2 linked regions of the Macaca fascicularis genome follow. The protein of the gene in region 1 purifies or fractionates together with the protein of each later gene. This does not show direct contact. Links are inferred from orthologs where the notes say so. Each region holds a gene or a part of one and is shown on either strand. Other genes may lie near its edges. The genes, in order: CAPN1 and CAPNS1.

Region 1 (3,108 bases):
TGACCTGGACAAGTCGGGCAGCATGAGTGCCTATGAGATGCGGATGGCCATCGAGTCGGCAGGTGAGACCCCAAGGCTGATGGCACCTGTGGGGCCTGGGACCGGTAGCCCCACTGCTCCTATGCCCCAGGCCCTTGTCCCCATGGTGCTGGTGGTGACGTGGTAACAGCCATCTTGTCCTTTTCCCCGCAGTTACTGAGCGAAGTGCGTTACTGGGTTCCCTTCCTTCCTTCCTCTCTGCAGCCTAACGAGGCTAGTGTCTTTTACCATCCCCACTGTGCACATGACAAAAGAGAAGCTCAGAGAAGGAAAGTGACTGACTTCAGGCCTCACAGCCAGCAGGGGCAGAGCCAGGCTGCAGAGCCTCCAGTGAGGGAGATGCAGGGCTCACTCACCCCAGCCCGCTTAAGCACAAGGCCAGGGCATTCAGCACAAACTAAGCTGGACCCCTGAGCCCTCACTGGCCCACTCCTGATTCCCTGGCATGACCTGGGCCCAGAGACCGGCACTCACTTGCCCAGCCCCTCATAGCTACTGGCTCTGCCCAGGAGGCCTTCATGCCCCTTCTGGAGAAGAAAAGGCGCCAAGCACCCTGCCTAGCTCCAGCCCCCTCCTAGGGACTCAACCCCTTCCCCATCCTGTTGGGCAGGGGCTGCGCCTCCCTGACCTTCACTCACTCTCCTGGACCAGGCTTCAAGCTCAACAAAAAGCTTTATGAGCTCATCATCACCCGCTACTCAGAGCCCGACCTGGCGGTCGACTTTGACAATTTCGTGTGCTGCCTGGTGCGGCTAGAGACCATGTTCCGTGAGTGTCCAGCTCTGTCCCAAACGCGTCACCAAGGAGCTGGGGGGAATGACAGATGGGTGAATTAGCAGATACAGGCCAGTGCTGTGGATGTGTGCCAGAGAGGCCTGGTTCTGGGTTTGGGGGGCCCTGGCTGAGTGCCAGGAGAGTTGGGGAGGGAGGGAGTTGATGGCAGCTTCTCAGGCAGCTGGAAGGGGTGAAGCTTCCCAGGTTCAAGGGGTGTCAGCTTGGGGTACTGTGGGGAGGTAGAGAGGGACCAGGCAGGAAGGGGGCTAGGCCTGGCCCTGCGTGAATGTCCCACTGAGTTTTCAGCCCTGTATCACCTTTTCTTGAACACACAGGATTTTTCAAGACTCTGGACACAGATCTGGATGGAGTTGTGACGTTTGACTTGTTTAAGGTGGGAACCTCCCCGGGCCCATGGTGGGGGAAGAGGTCCAGGCGATCGAGTTTTCTTATCTGGCCAGTGTTCCCTGTCCTTTCCTGGAAATGAGCCTGAGCCCCAGAGGCAACCCTGAAGTCCAGGCCCCCTGAGTCCTGAAAGGCTGGGGTGGGGGTGTCTGGATTCTGGGAAAGGAGCAGGAGGGGAGACCCAGGCCTTTGGAGGCCTCTATGGGAGCAGCACTCTGGTTTCCTGGGGGTGGAGGAGGTAAGAAAGTAGCCCCTTCATGAGGTCCCTGAGGTGGCTCCTGAGCCGTGGAGTTGGGGGCTGGACCTGGGGTTTGGGTGGGGAAGAAGCCAGGCGGCCATTTCTGCGGCCCCGGCTGACCTGCCTGCTCTCCCGCAGTGGTTGCAGCTGACCATGTTTGCATGAGGCAGGGACTCGGTCCCCCTTGCCGTGCTCCCCTCCCTCCTCGTCTGCCAAGCCATGCCTCCTGCCACACAACACCAGGCCACGCCAGCTGCAAGTGCCTTCCTTGGAGCAGAGAGGCAGCCTCGTCCTCCTGTCCCCTCTCCTCCCAGCCACCATCGTTCATCTGCTCTGGGCAGAGCTGTGTGGCCCCTGCCTGCGCCAGCTATGGGCTCGGGATGGACTCCCTGGGCCCCTTCCATTGCCAAGCCAGGAAGGCAGCTTTCGCTTGTTCCTGCCTCGGGACAGCCCCAGGTTTCCCCAGCATCCTGATGTGTCCCCTCTCCTTACTTCAGAGGCCACCCACTCAGCAGCACCGGCCGGGCCTTGCCTGCAGACTGTAAACTGTAACCACTAGCTCTACACGGTCTGCAGTCCAGGCATGTGGAGCCGCCTCCTAGCTCGGGGAGGCCCCGGGGCTGGGAACGCCTGTGCCTTCCTGTGCCAAAGCCAGTGCCCCCTCTGTCCCTCCCTGGCCCTGTTGCCGACCAGGAGCTGCCCAATCTGTGGGCGGTCGGCCTTCCCTCCTTCGCTCCTTTTTTATATTAGTGATTTTAAAGGGGACTCTTCAGGGACTTGTGTACTGGTTATGGGGGTGCCAGAGGCACTAAGCTTGGAGTGGGGAGGTCCCATGTTCCATATAGAGGAACCCCAAATAATAAAGGAAAAGGCCCCACATCTGTCTGTGACTTGTTTCTCCCCAGTCTACTGCCTGGAGGGCACCTGCAGGCCCCGGCCCATGGGGGCAGCTCGTGGCCTCAGCTCACCCCTCCCCTCCAACCCTTCCATCTCTTTCCCCTTGACCTGAAGCCTGAACCCCTACTGGAGTACTGGGTATCTGGGCCAGGCTACCCCTGGCCCTGGGAGGTTGGGAAGGAGGGGCCCCAGCTGCAGGGACAGGGCCACACAGCTGAGGTCCCACATGACTCTGCTGATCCTACATGCCCTCCCCGCCGCCCAGGAGGCCTGACCCCTACCTTTCTTGCACACTTCAGCCCATTGAGGTGAGGCTCTGGCTGAAACTCAAACCTCTACTTAGCACACACCCAGTCCCCCAGGGAGCTCCCCGGAGCGCGGAGCCGCCTTCAGGTCCTTCTGTGGGGAGCCCCTGTGACCCAGACACCTGCACTTATATAAGCCCCTCCAGGCCCTTCCGGGATCCGAGATTTTTCTTACCAGAGATAAGAGTGGCTTGGGGGAAGGAAGAGGGGATGGGGCGAAGCCGCAAATGCGGAGCAGAGGCCGAGTTGGGGGAGGGTGGGGGTGGGCTGCTGTCAGCTACTGTGGGCCCCAGTGTCGGGGCAGAGATGGCGGTGGAGGCTCCTGTGCGCCCCATGGGGCAGGCTGCCCGCACGCTGCTGTCTTGAGCTTGCATTTTGCCCTTGTCACCTCCTCACTGGGAGTCCAGGTCCTGTCAGGCTCAGGGTCTTCAGCAGTGAGGGCAGTGGCTC
Region 2 (3,907 bases), on another chromosome or scaffold:
CAATCTCCTGACCTCGTGATCCACGAGTCTCGGCCTCCCAAAGTGCTGGGATTACAGGCTTGAGCCACCGTGCTCTGCCGATATCATTTAATTTTGATAGGGGGCCTAGTGGTATGGAGCAACCCATGATCACATTTTACAGATGAGAAAATTGCTGCTCAGGAATATCAAGTCACTGTTTTGGGGTTGTGCAGTTATTACAGGGCATAGCCAGGATTCAACTCAAGCCTAGCCAGCCTCCAGGGTAGGGACTAAGAGCCAACCAGCCTGCCTGGGGGCCATATTTAGCTGCCCCTGAGGAGTCCTGAAAAAGTACTGGACACCTGTGGCTCACGCCTGTAATCCCAGCACTTTGGCAGGCCGAGGCGGGTGGATCACCTAAGATCAGGAGTTTGAGACTAGCCTGGTCAACATGGCGAAACCCCGTCTCTACCAAAAATACAAAAATTAGCTGGGCGTGGTGGTGCACGCCTGTAATCCTAGCTACTCGGGAGGTTGAGGCAGGAGAATCGCTTGAACCTGGGAGGCGGAGACTGCAGTGAGCCAAGATGGCGCCATTGCACTCCAGCCTGGGCAACAGAGCAAGATGCTGTCTCAAAAAAAAAAAAAAAGAAAAGAAAGAAAAAAACCAGGCTATGTAAAAACAATATTGTTAAAAATTAAATTAAATCAAAAAAAGGCCGGTAGCCCATACCTGTATTCCCAGTACCTCCCAGTACTTTGGGAAGCTGAGGCAGGAGGATGGCTTGAGGGCAGAGATGGCTTGAGGCCCGGAGTTCAAGAGCAGCCTGAGCAACATGGCTAGACCTCCGTCTCTATTACGTAAAAACAACAATATTTTTTAAGTAAATAAAGAAACCCGGCCGCCGCCAAAGGAATCTTCCTGTGTCTGGGGCCTTCTTTAGACACTAGCATACTGAGGACACCCTTTGGGCCAGTCCAGGAAGGAATGATTCATGTGGCCCCTGACTGGGGCGGGACGTGGTAAGGTTCGCCTGGGAGGCGGCGCCTGCGCTGCCTGCGGTTTGACTGCCATCCGGGCTGCTGCAGGCACTGGGAAAGGCACTCCAGCCTCAGTCCTCGCCACAGACACGGGCGATTGTCCTCCTGCGTGTGAGCCAAAGCATACTACAGGCCTCCAGGAGGTGTTTGTCGCGACAACACCTGGAAAGGGCCCGTGCGGAGTCCCTTAGTGAGCGGACCGAAAACTGCCACCCTGGAAGGATATTGGCAGGCCCTAGGGGCTGTCACACTACGACACTGGGGGGGTGTGGGTCTCCTCCGAGTTCTCATCACCCGGCGCCTGCACCCAGACCTGAGGGGTGTCGGGAAGACCCCAGCCTACCGAGTCAGGGCGGGGTTAAGACCTCCGGCGCTGGAAACGTGTAGGGCGGGGCCCAAATCCGGGTCCCGCTAGCAGGGCGATGTGGGGTGCGCATGCGCAATGTCCGCTTCGGCTCTAGGACCGCGCGGGAGACAGCCGGGCCGCGGTGCAGTGTCAGACCCGAGAGTTGCGGCCTGAGTCACCGGCCCCGCCCTCAGGAGCCGGACGCTGCGGGAGGCCCGGGAGCGGCAGCGGAACGGACTCCCAGACCTTTGGACGCGTGAGGTGGTAAGCGCCCAGCCCGTACCCCCTCCGCACCCCGCAATTCCGGCTTTGGCGGCCCCCAGACCTGGCGAACCGTGAAGTCTCGGCCTCAGGAGCCCCCCAGATCCATGGTCTCAGATTCGAACCCTCAGACCTGTTCGACACCCTTTCATGCCGTCCCGGGGACGTCCCCTACTTCTCCACCCTCTGTCTCATGATCCAAAATACAGGCCCATAGGTTTCAGAGATACCCTGTGAATTCTTCCTTGGGGTGTCTTGAACCACGATCGTAGATCTGTGCCCCCAGTTCCAGCGAGGGACCCCATTATCCGGGAACCCAGGGCTCACAGCCACGATCTTAGACCCGAGCCCACAAAGCCAGAGGTGACACTGGAATCCTGCCGCTGGGAATACCTGAATTCTCAAGCCCACATTTAGGATTTCCTAAACCCCGCCCTGGGGCCCTTTAGGCGGTGGATGTTTGCTCCGCGCCCATGACCCGCCAAGGACCTTTACATTCAGTCTGGGCTCTGGATCTCACATTCTAGCGCCCAGACACGTCGGGCACGCCTTACGCCAACTTGGGGTCCCCACCAAGAGAACCCCCACCAGACCTACACCCTCCCGTTAACGCGTGCACCCAGTCCAGGCTCCCTCAAGCCCACGGGTGCCTTTTAGACCCGAGGAGGTTGCAAACCTTGCGAGGACAACCCGCCCTCGCAAACTCAGACCCCCATCCGGAGGCCTCAGATCCCTTCTCCCGTGTCCAGCTGCCGGAAATGCGTGTTTGAGGGGAGGGTGTGGGCTCAGGGGCGAAGCACCCACTGGTCCCCTTTTTTCCCCCCAGCAGTGAGTCGCAGCCATGTTCCTGGTTAACTCGTTCTTGAAGGGCGGCGGCGGCGGCGGCGGGGCAGGCGGGGGCCTGGGTGGGGGCCTGGGGAATGTGCTTGGAGGCCTGATCAGCGGGGCCGGGGGCGGCGGCGGCGGTGGTGGAGGCGGCGGCGGAGGCGGCGGTGGCGGTGGAACTGCCATGCGCATCCTAGGCGGAGTCATCAGCGCCATCAGGTAAGGCGGCGACTATCGGAGGGGCGGGGCCTGGAAGTGTGAATGGGAGGTGCCTCAGGGGGCGTGGTCCGGGAGGGGCGTGGTCTAACAATAATAGGATTAACCTGGAGGCTAACCTGGGTACCTGAATTAGGCCGGGGTGGCCTAGTTTGAGAGTCCTGTTATAAGGGGGTGGACCCCAATGAGGCGGATATCAGTCCTTGGGAGCGGGGCTTGATACGGGAGTAGTCTGATTGTGTGGGACCAGGACAATGTGGTCCTGAGGGGACCGATGTGGAGTTTTGGAGGGTGGGGCTTATGGGTCTGGGCCCGGCCTGCATTGGCTAACCTGGAGATGAACGTTAAAGGGGCGGAGCCAATGCGTCTGAGTGACATTTTACGGTCGGGGCTTGACTTATGAGTGTGGTCAGAGGTTTTAGGTGGGTTAATGAGGAGGTGAGCCCAGGAGAAAGCAAGACCTAATGGGATAGAGGAAATAGCCCAGAATGGGCTGGGCTTGCTGGGAACTGGCGGGATTAATGGAGAAAAATGCCCTGGTAGGGGTAGGGCAGGTTGGCCTAATTAGTCATGGCCACTGAGCAGTGATCCCTTGAAGGGACGGGGACCAATGGCTGGGGTAGGATGTTGGGAAGACAGGTGTTTAGGAAGGGGGCCATGGAGTAGAGTCTTGGGCAGATGGCACCTAAGGAGGATAAGACCTTGGGAAGCTGGGGCAGAGCCTCTATGAAGTGAGCCCTCCAAGGGGCGGGGGTTTTTGATTCTGTGTGGGATTTTTAGGTTGAGGGTGGCCGAGATGACTGGAATCTGCCACTGGGTAGGTGTGCCTGGCAGGAGTGGAGCCTCCCAGGGGACGGATCTCTGGGTCTCCTGAAGGGTGGGGTTGGCCTGAGGAAGGGAGAAGAGGGGCACGACCAGGGCCATGTGGATTGGGACAGATGAGGACAAGAACAGATGAAGGGCACAGCAACCAAGTAAGGAAGATAGCGGCTGACATCTGGAGCGTTGGGGCTGATGGTTCTGTAGTACTGCCCGTTGGAGGCCCCGCCCCCGACACTAACCCCTCCCCCTTATCTCTTCGCAGCGAGGCGGCTGCGCAATACAACCCGGAGCCCCCGGTAAGCCCACTCTGCAACCAGACCCCCTTCTCCTGCCAAGGCCTCTTCGAGGTCCCATTCCTGTTCCTGTAGAGAAGTCCCACCTTCCTCCCCTTCTTGTGAAATTCCTCTGCCAGTTCCTCCCGTGCCATGTCCGCAG

Evidence for each region.
Region 2: the proteins of CAPN1 (region 1) and CAPNS1 purify together in Homo sapiens (co-immunoprecipitation; 4 studies listed by BioGRID and IntAct, counting the BioPlex papers as one, with this or other methods). This does not show direct contact. The link is inferred for Macaca fascicularis from reciprocal best matches to the Homo sapiens genes CAPN1 and CAPNS1.

What each region holds. Positions count from the first base shown.
Region 1 is NC_088388.1:9,154,893-9,158,000, reverse strand, and holds the end of CAPN1 (calpain-1 catalytic subunit), read left to right. Parts: coding exon 1-62; intron 63-690; coding exon 691-807; intron 808-1,148; coding exon 1,149-1,207; intron 1,208-1,594; coding exon 1,595-1,621; 3' UTR 1,622-2,333; downstream 2,334-3,108. UniProt on the Homo sapiens protein: Calcium-regulated non-lysosomal thiol-protease which catalyzes limited proteolysis of substrates involved in cytoskeletal remodeling and signal transduction. Proteolytically cleaves CTBP1 at 'Asn-375', 'Gly-387' and 'His-409'.
Region 2 is NC_088393.1:43,385,618-43,389,524, forward strand, and holds the start of CAPNS1 (calpain small subunit 1), read left to right. Parts: upstream 1-1,520; 5' UTR 1,521-1,612; intron 1,613-2,435; exon of another isoform or gene 2,436-2,438; 5' UTR 2,439-2,450; coding exon 2,451-2,653; intron 2,654-3,734; coding exon 3,735-3,768; intron 3,769-3,907. UniProt on the Homo sapiens protein: Regulatory subunit of the calcium-regulated non-lysosomal thiol-protease which catalyzes limited proteolysis of substrates involved in cytoskeletal remodeling and signal transduction. Essential for embryonic development.